2 linked regions of the Tamandua tetradactyla genome follow. The protein of the gene in region 1 interacts with the protein of each later gene in a pairwise test. Links are inferred from orthologs where the notes say so. Each region holds a gene or a part of one and is shown in the gene's direction. Other genes may lie near its edges.

Region 1 (7,937 bases):
TGTTACATACAAAGGTAACCATTAAATAATTATAAACAAATAATTTTTCCACGTACTCCCAGCCAATTTTGCATCTCCTGCCAGATACAAAACATTTACTTTAATAAGTTTACAGTGTGTAATTTTCATAAAACCACTGAAAGTGGGGATATTTTCAAAGCAGCGGCTTATGTGATGTGATTAGCAAAACCTCCCCACCCCCTTCCACCCCCCCTATACTATTAGTCATTCCTTTGATTTACTACATTGAAGGCCTCTGTTAAAATCTGAATATTTTCTAAGGGGGAATGAATGAACTATAAGCATCTTAGTTCACATTAGTTGATTGAATTGCTTAACCACTTAGTAAGATCCTGTGTGAAAGGGACACAGAAGCAGGTAAATTTTGAAGAGGGAAAGGAAAGGTTCCGAATATAGATTGTTGCCTGGGGAAAGTAGATGGAGTTAGGGTATCAGTATAGAGCTCTGGTAAGCCGAGACTTGCTTGAAAGCAGTGGAAGCCCAGATGGAGGGGAGACTGCTAAAAAGTGAGGGGTAGGGTGGTTTCTATAGGACAATAAAAGCCATTAAAAGCAAATCTTCTCTACTACCAGTTCTGCCAGGAGCTATCTAGCTTTCTTGTGTGTGTATATGGAGGGGAGTGGTGGCTGTGGTGGTGAGTATTGTCCATAAGAAAAGCTGTAACTTCTTTATATTTTAGAAAATTCACCACCTTTCTGTGGGAGATCAGATCAAATGAGGTTGAAAAATAATTCACAGGAATCAATTGACTTCTGACTCAACTTTGGGTTCAACATTTTTTTTTGAGAAATACCTTTTTCTTGATTTTAAAAAAACTACAAAAGGGATACATGAATAAATTCTTATTGTAGAATATTCAAATGGTTACAAAATATATTGAATAAAAAGTGAAAGACCTCTCAACACCCACCCCAATTCCAGGCTCACACTGTTTATAGTGTGCCCCCAGGTTATTTTCTATGCATTTACCTGCACATATAAGAATATTTTTGCATAGATAGGATAATCTGTATTTGTTCTATATATCTCCTTCTTCTATTTAATTTTTTGAAAAGGTAATACATGCACAGTATAAAAAAATTCAAACAATACAAAAGGACATATATAATGTAAAGTATTTCTCCCTCCTATGCTTGATCCCCCAGGCAACCAGTCATTCAGTTTCTTAAGTACCTTTGTAGAAGAGTCTATGCATATACAAGTATACAGGGACATATCTACCCCCCTTTCTTTTTACACTAGTAGCAAACCATGCATAGATCTGCACTTTCCTTTTTTCATTTAACAGTATCTCAGAGATTGTTTTATATATACATATTGTGCAGATTTGAAAGGATTTATGTACCCTAGAAAAGCCATGTCTTAATCCTAATCAATCTTGTGAGAACAATGGTTTCTTCTAATCCCTATTCAGTACTATAGGTTGGAAACTTGATTAGGTCATCTCCATGGAGATGTAACTCAATCAACTGTGGGTATTAAACTTGATTAGATGGAGATGTGTCTCCACCCATTCTATGTGGGTCTTGAGTAATTTACTGGAATCCTATAAAAGAGGAGATTCTGAGAGAGCAGAGAATGATGACAGCCACAGGAAAGCCACAGCAAAATACCACAGAACCACAAAGCAGAGAGTCCACCAGCCAGCAACTTTTGGAGATGAAGAAGAAAAATGCCTCATGGGGAGCTTCATGAACCAGGAAACCTGCGGAGGAAGCTAGCAGATGATGCCATGCTTGCCATGTGCCTTTCCAGATGGGAGAGAAACCATGACCATGTTTGCCATATCCCCTTCCATTTGAGAGAGAAACCCTGAATTTCATTGGCCTTTTTGAATCAAGGTATCTTTCCCTGGATGCCTTGGATTGGACATGTCTATAGACTTGCTTTAATTGGGGCATTTTCATGGCCTCAGAACTGTAAACTTGTAACTTTTTAAATTCCCCTTTTTAAAAAGCCATCCCATTTCTGGTATATTGCATTCTGGCAGCTAGCAAACTAGAACACAAATATAAACATATATATAACAAGAAACAAACACATTCTTTTTAAAAATCTTTTATTAATTTTTAAGTTTTTAAAAATATATAACAAAGAAACACAAACATTCTTAACTTATGATCATTCCATTTAAAATATATATTCATAATTCACAGTATCATCACATAGTTGCATATTCATCATCATGATCATTTCTTAGAACATTTACATTGATTCAGAAAAAGAAATAAAAAGACAACAGAAAAAATTCATACATACCATACCCCTTACCCCTCCTTTTCACTGATCACTAGCATTTCAATCTAAACTTATTTTAACATTTGTTCCCCCTATTATTTATTTTTATTCCATATGTTTTACTCATCTGTTGATAAGGTAGATAAAAGGAGCATCAGACACAAGGTTTTCACAATCACACAGTCACATTGTGAAAGCTATATCATTGATCACTAGCATTTCAATCTGCTAAATTTATTTTAACATTTGTTCCCCCTAATGAAAATAAAAATTATTCATTTTTATTCTGTATATTTTACTTATCTGTTGATAAGGTAGATAAAAGGAGCATCAGACACAAGGTTTTCACAATCACACAGTCACATTGTGAAAGCTATATCATTATACAATCATCTTCAAGAAACATGGCTACTGGAACACAACTCTACATTTTCAGGCAGTTCCCTCCAGCCTCTCCATTACATCTTGACTAACAAGGTGATATCTATTTAATGCATAGACTCTGTTTGGAATCTCTCAGCCATTGACACTTTATTTTGTCTCATTTCACTCTTCCCCCTTTTTGGTCAAGAAGGTTTTCTCAATCCCTTGATGCTGAGTCTCCGCTCATTTTAGGATTTCTGCCCCACGTTGCCAAGAAGGTCCACACCCCTGGGAGTCATGTCCCATGTAGCCAAGGGAAGGGCCGTGAGTTTGCTTGTTATGTTGACTGGAGAGAGAGGCCACATCTGACCAACGAAAGAGGTTTTCTTGAGGGTGACTCTTAGGCCTAATTTTAAGTAGGCTTGGCTTTTCCTATTTGGGGTTAAGTTTCATATGAACAAACCCCAAGATTGGGGGCTCAGCCTATTGCTTTGGTTTTCCCCACTGCTTGTGAGAATATCAAGAACTCTCCACTTGGGGAAGTTGAATTTTCCTCCTTTCTCACCATTCCTCCAAGGGGACTTTGAAAATACTTTTTACTCAGTGTTCAAATCACTCTGGGATTTATTGGGGCATCACTCTGGACAAACCTACAAAATCTTATGCCCTACTCAAGGTTCTATGTACTTATGGTGTTCAATTAAGTTGTTCACATAAGTTATATTAGGAACTGCAGTAGTCAAAATATAAATTTTGTACCAAGTAAGCATTTTTTGCTTTAGTCTGACTCAACTTTTACTTCTCTTGGGCCAGACTTTCATCAGGATAGCTTGGCTGTGATTTTTGTCTTGTTTCCACCTCAGTACTCTCTAGTACATTGTTTAACAGGGGTGTTGGCTGATTACTATTGGTTCCGTGATGGATACACCCAGAGCTAAGTTAATTTTTCTGGACTTGTTCCCATGCATAGTAATGAGAAGTCTCTGTGTGTGTGTGTGTTTGTGCATATTAACTCTCATTTGCTCCTTTCTTTCTCCATTTTCTCCCATGTTAAGACCAAGTTTTTTGTGGCCTCCTACTCTTTCCCTCTTCCATCTATGCCGTGAGTGAGGCAGCTGAGCCAATGATAGTAGAGAATCTGACTCCAGACCAACGGGATGCCCTGGCTTCCAGGTGGGCCAATTAGCTTATCAAGGATATTGAATACTTGAAGAGCTGGCATCTGTCCCCTTGTAAACTCTTGTTTTGATGGTCAAGGATTTGAAGGTGCAAAAAAAAAAACACTCACAAACAAAAAGCAACCCTACTTTATTTTATTTGCTCTGGTGGCTTTCTTTAATCCATCCCCACAACTTCTGCCCAAGGCCAATAAAACAGCCATTCTCCCTTTGTAAAAAGAAAGAGGGGTTGGGTTTCCTTCAATTGTCTGCCCTTTTCTGTCTCCTCCACTATTTTTGTTTTACTCTATAGTTAACTTTGCAAAGGGTGGCTTCACCCGAGAACCTATGCGGTTGGACCCAGGCACTTTCTTCTTAATGCCTATTGCAACATCCTTTTTCTTGTTCTGATCTGGGTGTTTGTGGGTCCAGGGTGGTGGTGGGTAGGAGAAGAGTTTGGCCATAGTCTTCTTTTTATATTCCTCACACATTCTGCGCTTTCTCTCTCTCTCTCTCTCTCTCTCATACACACACACACACACACACACACACACACACACACACACACACGCACACGCGCCTGCTTGGGCCCCTCTCGGTGTGTCTTCCTTCAAGATGACAGGGCGCTGGAGAAAAGGCTGCTGGAATCAGCTGGTAGGTACAGTAGTAACCCGAACCCCACCCACCCCGCTGCCTTTCCTTGCTCAGGTTTCTCCGGTCACTCCTGCCAGGGGAGAAAACATGTAAACGTGCCTCCAGAGGAGGGGCTGGGGAAGCTGGGAGCGGCAGGGGCGGAGGAAGGTGAGCCCGGGAAGGTGGCTGAGCGGCCCTCCTGCCAGGTTCTTCCCAGACCTCCCTCCGGGCGTCAGCCCAACCCTGTTTGCCCGCACTCTACCCCCCTTTTCGAAGGGATTGCCTTTTTTTTTCCCTCTGCGGCGGCGGAAATGACAGTGTGGTGCTGCCGTGGTGTCATGGTGCTGCCTGTGGGCTGAGGGGGCGAAAACTCTTTAACTTTGGCTTGGGAGACCCAACCGCTGCAGCGTCGCGGCCGCCGTGCTGTCACGGGCGGGGCGCGCGGGGCGGGCGGATCTCGGCTGCTGCGCGGCAGCGGCGGCGGCATTGGCGAAGGCGGCGAAGGCGGGCGGCGGCCTAGAGCAGTGGCGGCAGCGGCCAGGGACTTGGGCCGAAGCCGGAGCCAGCTCGCTGCGGAGGGAGGCGAGCGCCGAGCGCCCTCAGTGGCGCCGAGGAGATGGCTGGCACCTGGCAAAGCTATGGGTAAAATGCGCCCCCTCGCCGCGGCCCCAGGGGTGGAGCGCCGCCGCCTGCGCAGAGCTCCCGGGCTCTTGGCGCGCCTCAGGTGCCGCGGTGGCCCGGCCCGGCCCGGGCTGAGGGCTCGGATGCTCGGCGGGGCGGGGTGACCCGGCCCGCGAGGCTCACGGCAGCGGCGCGGCCCCGGCCCGGCCCTGACTCTCCGTTGCACCGCTGGGGCCCAGGCTCCTGCCCTTGCTCTCCTGGGACTGGAGTTTGCACTCCCGGGTGCGGGTGGGGGCGGCCCGAGGCCTCCCGCGCAGCCGGATCGGCCCGGAGCGGGCAGTGAAGCGCCCCCACCCCGCCATCCCGCAGCCTCCGGCGCCTGGGCGCGAGTCTGGGAAAGGGCAGAGCCGCCTTCCCACGCTCCCGCTGTCTGCAGCCTCCTCGGCCCCGGCGGCGTCCCTCAGACAGCTGGTTGCCCCGCGGTGGCTGCCGCAGCAGTCCGAAATGCTGAGGACATCCTGGTGGTGGGAAGGCCCGGCGAAACTTAATCCCTCTTCTGCCAGAGGAGCAATCATCTAGTCTCTGTATGGGTGGCTAATTATTTCTGGCCTAGCTGTGAAACCAGCTTTACCGGGGAGAGGAAAAACTTACATATGTCCGCAAGACAGACTGCGACTGACTGGGGAGACGTGGGGTTTTAACATTCCTGTCTCCTAAGAATTAAGTAAATAGCGGTGGAGTAGATTTACAGAAACATTATTTGTTGATGATAAGGTTTAGGTTACTTAGCCCTTCGTGTGCAGCGCGAAATTATTTTTCGGAGGCATTTCTTCTCAGAGCAGGAAATTGGGATTCTATGGTCGCTGGGTTGTTCGCTTTCCCTCTTCCACACTCCCCTACCCACCACGCTCACTCACCTTCTTTCCACGTTGTCGCACATCTACCCACCCACTTCAAATCTCCCATATGCTCCCACCCCACCCCTCAGCCTTTCCCCATCAACCTGTGCACTCTAGTAACCTCCCAGCTGTGCAGCCTTTTGCTTCTCAATCTCTTTGCCATTTTCAGTATTTCTGACGTTGGGGTAGTAACGGTTTTATGTTTCTGAGGTTAAAACAAAAGGGAGAGACCCTTAAAAAAGAAATATATTGGAAGCTGTGTAAATAGACAAGTGCTGTGTGTTGGTTGATATTCGTCTGATTCTCAAATTGGACCCATGAGGGCTGCCTTTAACCCCACAGAGTCCTCTTCTAGTTCTCTAATCAGTTCTCTGGCAATGCTCCAATAGAAGGGGGTGGTGGTGTCTGAATTGGAAATCCCTCTCCCTACTTCTTTTCTGCCCTGAAAGCACTGCTGCTCCACTCCAGCTGGGTACCTCTCCCAACACTATATCCCCCTTTCCACTTGCTCTTCACTTATCACTGTTCTGAGGAGGGAAGAACTTTTGCTATTTTATTATATATATATAAAAGATATATATATATATATATATATATATATATATATATATATGTATTCCTGACCAATCACTTAACAGAGATATATTTTTTCATTTTTATTTTCTATTTTTTTTTGGCCTGGACAGGCTCCAGGGATTGAACCTGGGTCTCTGGCATTAACAGAGATATATAATATGAATTAGGCTTCTCCTGATTGTTCTTCACAAGTTGATTTATGTGGTTGAAATACAGGCCTAGGAGCCAAGTATATCAGAGAATTCATCCCAAATCTGATGTTGCATTGACCTTATGGCTTTAGGGCATTCCTATGACCTTTCTTTCATAGTCGGTGCACTTGTGTAAAAGGCATAAAGTTGTGTGCTGGGGTATTGTGAGTCTTGACTTGGTCCTTTGAAGATGAAAGGTTTCTATAAACCCTCAACATTATACTTTTCAAAGAAAGTACTTCATTTACCTTGTATTGGAATGGTGGATTGACTAGGAATATCAGAAACTCTAGTTTACTGGAAACTTTAGCTTGTCATAGCAGCTACCCTGAGAGCCAAATCTCTGATTGTAGTTATGTTTAAGTCTGTTTTTTTTTTTCAGTAAGCATACAACTGAATGAAAACTAAAACTAGGTGTACAGAGTAATGGTGATTATTTTAAGTTATCTTAAATTCTGCTGAAAAAAAATGGCATAAGTAATTTTAGACATGGCTATATAAGTTAGTATCTAGCAACAGTGAGTCAATATTTATTAAGCACCTACAATGTGCAGAGTCCTGTGCTGATTGCACTGAGGCCCCAGGCTTGGCCCAATGTTTTGGCTTCTTGCTTATTTGAGGCCTACTTTCATACTTGCAGCTCCAGGATTGGGAAAGGGAGGAACTATGGAGGGTAGGGGTAGAGGCTAGCCATATGAAGGGGTGATTGTTTCCTTCCCATTTACTTCCATGACTACTAGAATTCTCATCTATTATATTGTACCTTGCAAGGCCTCCTCTGGGAAGTGTTGCCACAAATCAATGACTTGGTTGTTTCATGAACATATCATCTGAACAGTACAAATTGATTTAAATGAAATTGGTTTAGTTAATCCCTCCTCTAAGTGAAGGGCAACTTGCTCTGACTTGCAGATCCTAACACAGAGCTGGTGGAGTCTCATAATTGTCTCCAAAAATTGCTCTGGGTAGTGAGCCTGTTCATTCTCTCATCCCTCCTCCCATAAAATCTGCTGACGCTATAACAATTGAGAAGGAAACTACAGAAGGAGTATGTCTTTACCACTCAGCAAACCTCACTGGCTTGGTAGAGAGGAGAGAATGTCATCTTTTCACCCCATCCCTCTGTGCTCCAGTTTCCTCTTTCCCAAAAGGGACACAGAGCTTTTAAAAAGAGGTGAAGAGGGCAACGGTGGCCCAGTGGCAGGGTTTTCGCCTGCCATTCTGGTACCTGCCCATGT
Region 2 (8,039 bases), about 57 Mb from region 1:
ACTTGTTAAATTTACTAAAATCATTGAATTGCACACTTAAAATAGGTGGATTTTATGATATATAAATTATATGTCAATGAAGTTATATTAGGAAAAGATCATGGGAGGGTGTTTTGGGATATATTTGGATCACTGAAGTATGGTTTGGGTGCAGTTTAAAATCATTGGCGGCCCAGAGAATCTCTTTTGTTGCTCAGATGTGGCCTCTCTAAGCCAATTTGGTAGGTGAACTCACTGCCCTCCCTCCTATGTGGGACATAACTTCCAGCAGTGTAAATCTCCCTGGCAACGTGGGACAAAAATCCTGGGATGAACCAGGACCTGGCGTCAAGGGATTGAGAAAGCCTTCTTAACCAAAATGGGAAGAGAGAAATGAGACAAAATAAAGTTTTAGTGGCTGAGAGAGTTTGGATTTGAGAGGTTATCCTGCAGGCTATTTTTTTCTTATTGATTAAAAAAAAATGAACAAACAAAACATTAAGATATCAATCCATTCTACATATACAATCAGTAATTCTTAATATCATCACATAGTTGCATATTCATCATTTCTTAGAACATTCGCATCGATTTAGAAAAAGAAATAAAAAGACAACAGAAAAAGAAATAAAACAATAGAGAAAAAAAGATTATACATACCATACCCCTTACCCCTCGCTTTCATTTAACACTAACATTTCAAACTAAATTTATTTTAACATTTGTTCCCCCTATTATTTATTTTTATTTCATATGTTCTACTCTTCTGCTGATATAGTAGCTAAAAGGAGCATCAGACACAAGGTTTTCACATTCACAGAGTCTCATTGTGAAAGCTATATCACTGTTCAATCATCATCAAGAAACATGGCTACTGGAACACAGCTCTACCTTTTCAGGCAGTTCTCTCCAGCCTCTCCACTACATCTTGAACAACAAGGTGATATCTACTTAATGCATAAGAATAACCTCCAGGATAACCTCTCGACTCTGTTTGGAATCTCTCAGCCACTGACATTTAGTATTATTTCACTCTTCCCCCTTTGGTCGAGAAGGTTCTCTCAATCCCTTGATGTTAATTCTCAGCTCATTCTAGGGTTTTTCTCAGTCCCTTGATGCTGAGTCTCCTACAGGCCATTTTTATACATTATATAGATATCCCCTTTTAAATTTATGGTGTATTGGAGTAGCTAGAGGGAAGCACCTGAAACTCTAGAGCTGTGTTCCAGTAGCCTTGATTCTTCTTTAAAAAAATATTTTTATTGTACACAACAAACAAACATACAAACATTCTTGACATACGAACATTCTATGAATGGTGTACGATCAATAGCTCACATTATCATCACACAGTTGTGTATTCATCACCATGATCATTTTTTGAACATTTGCATCACTCCAGAAAAAGAGAAAAAACCCTCATACGTTCCATCCCTGTCATTGACCACTGATATTTGCATCTAACCAATTTATTTTAACCTTTGTTCCTCCTATTATTTGTTTATTTTTTATCCACATTTTTTACTCATCTGTCCATACTGTAGATAAAAGGAGCATCAGACACAAGATTTTCACAATCAGTCACATTGTAAAAGCTATGTTGTTATATAATCATCTTCAAGAAACATGGCTACTAGAACATAGCTCTACAGTTTCAGGTACTTTCCTCTAGCCACTCCAGTACACCATAAACTAAAAAGGGATATCTATATAATGCCTAAGAATAATCTCCAGGATAACCTCTTAACTGCGTGAAATCTCTCAGCCACTGAGACTTTATTTTTTCTCACTTTTCTCTTCCCTCTTTTGGTCAAGAAGGTTTTATCAACCCGTGATGCTGGGTCCTGTCTCATCCCGGGATTTCTGTCCCACATGGCCAGGGAGATTTATACCCCTGGGAGTCATGTCCCATATAGTGGGTAAGGGCAGTGAGTTAGCTTGCCATGTCAACTTAGAGAGAGAGGCCACATCTGGGCAACAAAAGAGGTTCTCTGCGTGACTGTTAGACCTAATCTTAAGTAGGCTTAGCCTTTCCTTAGCAGGGATAAGTTTCATAGGGGCGAACCCCAAGATTGAGGGCTTGGCCTATTGATTTGGTTGTCCCCACTGCTTGCGAGAATATCAGAAATTCTCCAAATGGGGAACGTGAATATTTCCCCCTTTCTCCCCATTCCCCCAAGGGGGCTTAGCAAATACTTCTTTATTAACTGTCCAAATCACTTTGGTATTTATCAGGACATCACACTAATCTGGACAAGCCAACACAATCTCATGCCTTATTCAAGATTCCATGTACTTATGGTGTTCAACTAAACTGACCATGCAAGTTAAATTAGGAAATGCACACCCAAAATATAAATTTTGCACCAAATCATCATTTCTCACTTCAGTCTCACTCAGGGAGTTGAAATTTTTAAATCTGGATGATATCGTCCTTTACCCAGTCTTCTAATATTCCTTAGTCCTATCCAGATCAGTTTCATTCATATCTCTACTTGATGTCTAATCATTTTTTCAATTTTTTAAACAGTTCCTATATGGGGTAATGCTGACTTTCATAGCTTCAGAGCTCTAACTCTTAGTCTCAGCTGTCACATAAATACCTGAAATTTCTGGAAATGACCAGGTCATAAACAAACAGCTCAGTATCTCAGAATTTAAAATTAACAGTTACAACTCATGAATATATGTGACTGCTGTAAGAGCTTACAATGTAGGATCCTTTACAATAGGCCCCAACCTGATAACCCATGCTCCCGACTTCAGTTCACCAAGTTTTTACATTATAGTTAGTCCATATGAATGAGGCTTGACAATATTTGTTTTTTTGTTTCTGATATTTCATTCAACATACAGTCCTTAAGGTTCATTTACCTAGTTGCATGCCTAACAACTTCATTCCTTCTTGCCACTGCTCAGTAGTCTGTTGTATGTATACGCCATAGTTCCCCCTTCCATTCCTCAGTCGTTCTACCCTCTAGCCACCTGCATTCATTGTGGATCTGGAACACTGCTGCCATAAACACCAGTGTGCAAATGCCCATTTGTGTCCCCACTCTCAGTTTCTCCAGGTATATACTGAGTAACGGGGTTGCAGGATCATATGGAAACTCACCCCTAGCCTCCTATGGAACCACCACACTGCCCTCCAAGAGGCTGCACCTCTAGTTTCTCTACCAACAGTGAATAGGTACATCTCTTTCACCACATTTTCTCTAGCACTTATTTCTCTCTGTTCATTTTTAAACAGTTTTATTCACACATCATGCAATCCAACCTAAGTGTACAGACATACCTTTGCCACCATAATCTACATGAAGACATTTCCTTTTCTTCCACAAAAAATCCATACCCCCCCCCCCGTTGACATTTAGTTTTGGCATAATGTCTTCATTACATTGAGTGGAAGCATATTACAATGTTTTTATTGACTATAGACCCTAGCTTGCAGTGATTGTACATAAAGATATATCTTTTACAATGTGATGGTGGGATTGTGAAAACCTTGTGTCTGATGCTCCTTTTATCCAGGGTATGGAGAGATGAGTAAAAAAAATATGGATAATAAATAAATAAATAATAGGGGGACAAAGGGTAAAATAAATTGGGTAGATGAAAATACTAGTGGTCAATGAGAGGGAGAGGTAAGGGATATAGTGTGTATGAGTTTTTTCTCTCTTCTTTTTCTGGAGTAATGCAAATGTTCTAAAAAATGATCATGGTGATGAATACATAACTATGAATGACATCGTGAGCCATTGATTGTACAGCATGAATGGAGTGCATGTGTGTGAAGATTTCTCAATAAAAATATTTTAAAAAAATCATTGGAGGGTTTGGGGGACACATTTGGGGCCACTGGAGTATGATTTGGGGGTTCATTGGATAACTACAGCAACGTTGTTGATAGCTATTTGGACGTATAATTGGGGACTGTTGGAGAGTGGTTTGGAGTGAAGTTTAAGTCTGTGGACTGTGGTTTGGAGGTGCAGGGAGTGTTGGAGGCTGGTTTGAAGTGCAGTTGGGATCACACCTAAGAGTAGTTGGGAGTATTTGAGATAGTAATGGGGGCTGTTGGAAGGTAATTAAGAGAGGTCAATGGAGGGTGGTTTGGGGGTCCACGGAGCATGGTTTGGAGGTATCATAGGTTACTGTTGGATAGTGATTTGAATGGCAGGTGAGGGCCACACTGCAGATAGTTGAGTGTTTGGGGTGATGTTGGGGACTCTTGGTGAGTGACTTGGGGAGCAATGGATGGTAGTTTGGAGAGTACATGGGAGGTGGTTTTGGGGATAATGAAGCATGTTTTTGGGTGCATATATTGGGGATAGATGGGGGTAGTTTGGAACTACTGTTGGAGGTTAATGTTGGATGATTTCAGGGTTGATGGAGCATGGTTTGGGGGAACAACTTAGGTAGTGAGGGTAGTTTATGGGTGAAGCTTGGATGTCCATGGAGGGTAGATTGGAGGTACTGCTTGCGGGTCAATGGGGGGGGGGGCAATGAATGGTGGTTTGAGGCTGAAATTCAGAGGCAAATGGGTAGTGATTTGGGGGTTGATGGAGTGTGGTTTGGGGATTCATTGATAATTAATTCGGGTGCAATGTTGATGTCCATGGAGGACAATTTAGGGATATAGCTTGGGGTCAATATAGTGTGGTTTGGGCATAGCTTGGCGGTCACTGGAGGGTGGTTTGGGGGTGCATTTGGGGATGACATGGTGGGTAGTTGGGAGCGTTTTAGAAGTCTGTTATAGGGGCTGTTTGAGGGCAGGGTGACCTGGGGTTAGGGGCCCCAGTTTGGGCATTGAGGGGGCGTGGCCTCGGTGGGGGCGGGACCCGGGCCGGGAACGAGAGCGCTCCAGGGGCGCGCACTGTTAGGCCCTGTTCCTTAGCTGGCGCGGCTGCCCTCGAGAAGGCGCGTGCGCACGCGCTTCCAGCTCGTTCGCTCTGGGCGCTCCCAGGGCAGGAAAATTGAAGTCCGGAGCTCGCGCTTGCGCACTTGGGCCCCATCGCGGCTGTGGTCTTGCGCCCCGCCCCCTCCCCCTTCTTCCCGGGGCTCGCGCTCAGCGGCTGAGGCGGTGGTGCCGCCGAAGCCCACAGACTTAACTGAAGGGTGGCAAGCGGGGCTTCCCCACCCGCAGCGCGGAGTCTGGCGCCTCTCTCCCACCCTTCTCGCGTCCCCCGTCTGGCCCCCACGCCTAACGGTCTCGCGGCGGCACGCGGTCCACGGGCAGGGCGCGGAAGGGGAATAGGCGCGCGCCCGGGTAAGATCGGAGCTCGGCGAGGGAAGGGCGCACCCACTACCCCTCCCGGCTGACACGACCCCGCTGACGTCGCGGTGCGAGGACGCTCGGTGAGTCATAACCCGGTCCCGGGCGGCAGGGGAGGGACAGGGCGGGGTGAGGGCCTGGAAATACCGACGGTGGACGTACCTGGGCGCGCACCCCGCGACCTCTGACCTGGTGGCCTCACTCCTGACCCATGCCCTGACCTGGCTATTTCTTTTCCTAACCTCGAACTCGGCCACCCTTGGCCCCAGAACCCCAGCCCTGATCGCTGACCTAACCATGTTCTGGCCTGCTTTGATCATTTGTACCTGTTTTTTTTTTTTTTTTTTCCCCCTTAACCCTCTAGCACTGACCCCAAACCCCAGTTCTGTCCTTGGGATCCTGGGCCTGAACCCGGGTCTTTGTGTGACCCTGTCTCATCTCTGAAGCTCGTCTGGCCTTGTCCTGATGCCCAACATCCACCTCAGTTTCTGTTGTCTCTTCCCTAACCCCCTGTCCAGGTCTCTAACCCCCTCTGGGCATGTTCTACCCCCCTGACCTCAGTCTGCTTCTGCTGTATCCTGACTCCTGACCTCTGACTTCTGTGCTTTCTCCCCACCCTGTACCGTCCCCCTGGCCCCTCCCCTAATAGCTGGTTTACCACCTTTGGAATGTCTCCTGTCCTGTCAGTCCCTTCCCCCAATCCTGTCCTGATTTTCCCAGTCCTCTCTTGTTTCATCACCATCTTTACTCCTTTCCTCATTCTGCCCTGGTCTTTTCCTGTTCTTGACCTCCGTCCTGAACCTGCCCCTTTCCCTAGCCCCTTCTATGACCACTGTCTTCACCTGTCCCGCATCAAGTCTTCTGACTAAGGTTGTACACAGACCTGGAGCCCTGTCCTGGTGTTTTCTCCCCTTGTGATTTTTCTCTTACCCCTGTCCTGAACTTCATTCTATCCTATCCCCTGGCCAGTGTCCTTCTCATTCCCAGGCCTGCCTCCTGACCTCTGTCCTATGATGACTCTGATTCTGCCTTGTCCCCTACACACCTTCCTGTCCTGTCCCTATATCCTGTCACAACCCCGGACCCTATTATCTACCCCTTACTATGCCCCTCCACCCTGCTCCCTCCTTCCCATACCCTCTGAACCCAGAAGGGCAGGGATCCCATTATACCCTGCCCCTGAACTTGGGGATTCCTCGGTTCCTAGGACCTCTGAGGTATATCCCAGATGCTTCTCTTAGCAAGAGGGGGAATGGCATTCTCTCCCTGCCTCCCCCATGACCCACAGCTCCCTGAAACAAACAGCCTTGTAGGGCCAGTGTGGCTGATAGGGTTTTTTGTATGTGATTCCTCCCACCCCCACCCCCACCCCCACCCCAGTGATCTCACACAGAGCTTGCATTTTTCTCTCTGTTCCAGGAGGGCATGGAACTGTTCTTACGCCCCCTGCCCTCCCCAAGTGCAAAAGAACACCCTAAATTATTCAGTGGCTCTCTGGGAGTCTGCACGGTCCAGGTTATGTTTCCAGGCTTGCTAAGTTGGGGACTGCCCCACGTCAGAGGGGGTTGGTAAAAGATGAACCTGGGGTTATGTGTGTCTTCCTGGTCGTGTAACTGCTCAAGCCCTTGGTCTTGATTCTAGGTGTGTGTGCGATCCCTGCCTTACTGGCCTGAAAAAAAAAAAGTCCATTTTAAGTTACAGGCTTCCAGGCTTGGAGTGGGTAGGATTAGGGCAGGAATTTATCCCCCTCTCTTGGCAGTAAACAACAAAAATCTTCATGCTAAGTCCACCCCACCTCTGTGGGGCAGGTCTGGGACGGTGGGGCCGGGAGTTCACTGGATGTTAGAATCAGGCTGATGCAGAAGGAACAATACAACAGCAGCAACAATAGGATCCGTCACTGTCTGAATCTTCTGAATTCTGAGGATGGGTAGGGAGAATTTGGGGGGAATGTCTTATTCAATTATGTTTTTTTTCTGTGTTTCTCATAGAAAGTGGCGAGAGTTTGAAAAGTGAGGGATACCAGACCCAGCTCATTTATCTAAACCCATTAATAATAACAACACAAGCATCCCTCACTCTCCCAGACTATTTGGTACCTGAATTCTGAGAGGGAGAGTTCTGATAGTTCAGACATGAATGATGCCATGTTGTCTAAAGTATTTGAGTTTCCTCATTTTACCTGGTGAGTAGAGAGAGCTCAGATAATGAGGCTCTAACTCAAAAGTATATTCAAATCTATTCACTTTCCTGAATTCCGGTGACAAGAGTTGAAGAGTGAGAAGTACCGTGTTGTGTAAATATATTTCATTGCTGCCTTTTGCCTGGTGAGTAAGGAAGGTTCAGGGAGTGAGGGATAACAGCTCTTTCTCCAAAATATATGTAAATCCATTCGCTCCTGACTTGGGGTAGTGAGAGTTCAGAGCAAACAAGTTGTCTGAACATATTCAATTGCTGCTTTTTCGATAATTTAATAGGGAGAGGTCAGATAATGAGAGAAATCGGCTGTTTCAAATGTATCTGGCTTGGCCAGTAGGAAGGGTTCTGTGTCTGGGTAGCAAATATGGAGGGTTTGGAGGCTAAGGGATACTAGCTTTGTCCCAAGACTGTATCTGAATCCATTCAGTTTCTGATTTTGGTTAGTGAGAATTGGGACAAATTATCTGAGGGAAAACAGCTCTGTTTCACATTTATTGAGCTGAGGGATACTAGTTCTGTCTCAAAAATCGTATCTGGATGTATCTGTTTGGTTCCTAAGTTCTACATAGGAAGGGATGTTTGTAATTCT

Evidence for each region.
Region 2: the proteins of MID2 (region 1) and CCDC120 interact in binary tests that used the Homo sapiens proteins (3 or more experiments, as listed by UniProt). The link is inferred for Tamandua tetradactyla from reciprocal best matches to the Homo sapiens genes MID2 and CCDC120.

The regions. Positions count from the first base shown.
Region 1 is NC_135353.1:63,688,312-63,696,248, reverse strand, and holds the start of MID2 (putative E3 ubiquitin-protein ligase MID2), read left to right. Parts: upstream 1-4,876; 5' UTR 4,877-5,050; coding exon 5,051-5,054; intron 5,055-7,937. UniProt on the Homo sapiens protein: E3 ubiquitin ligase that plays a role in microtubule stabilization. Mediates the 'Lys-48'-linked polyubiquitination of LRRK2 to drive its localization to microtubules and its proteasomal degradation in neurons.
Region 2 is NC_135353.1:121,100,610-121,108,648, reverse strand, and holds the start of CCDC120 (coiled-coil domain-containing protein 120), read left to right. Parts: upstream 1-5,009; 5' UTR 5,010-5,334; intron 5,335-6,662; exon of another isoform or gene 6,663-8,039. UniProt on the Homo sapiens protein: Centriolar protein required for centriole subdistal appendage assembly and microtubule anchoring in interphase cells. Together with CCDC68, cooperate with subdistal appendage components ODF2, NIN and CEP170 for hierarchical subdistal appendage assembly.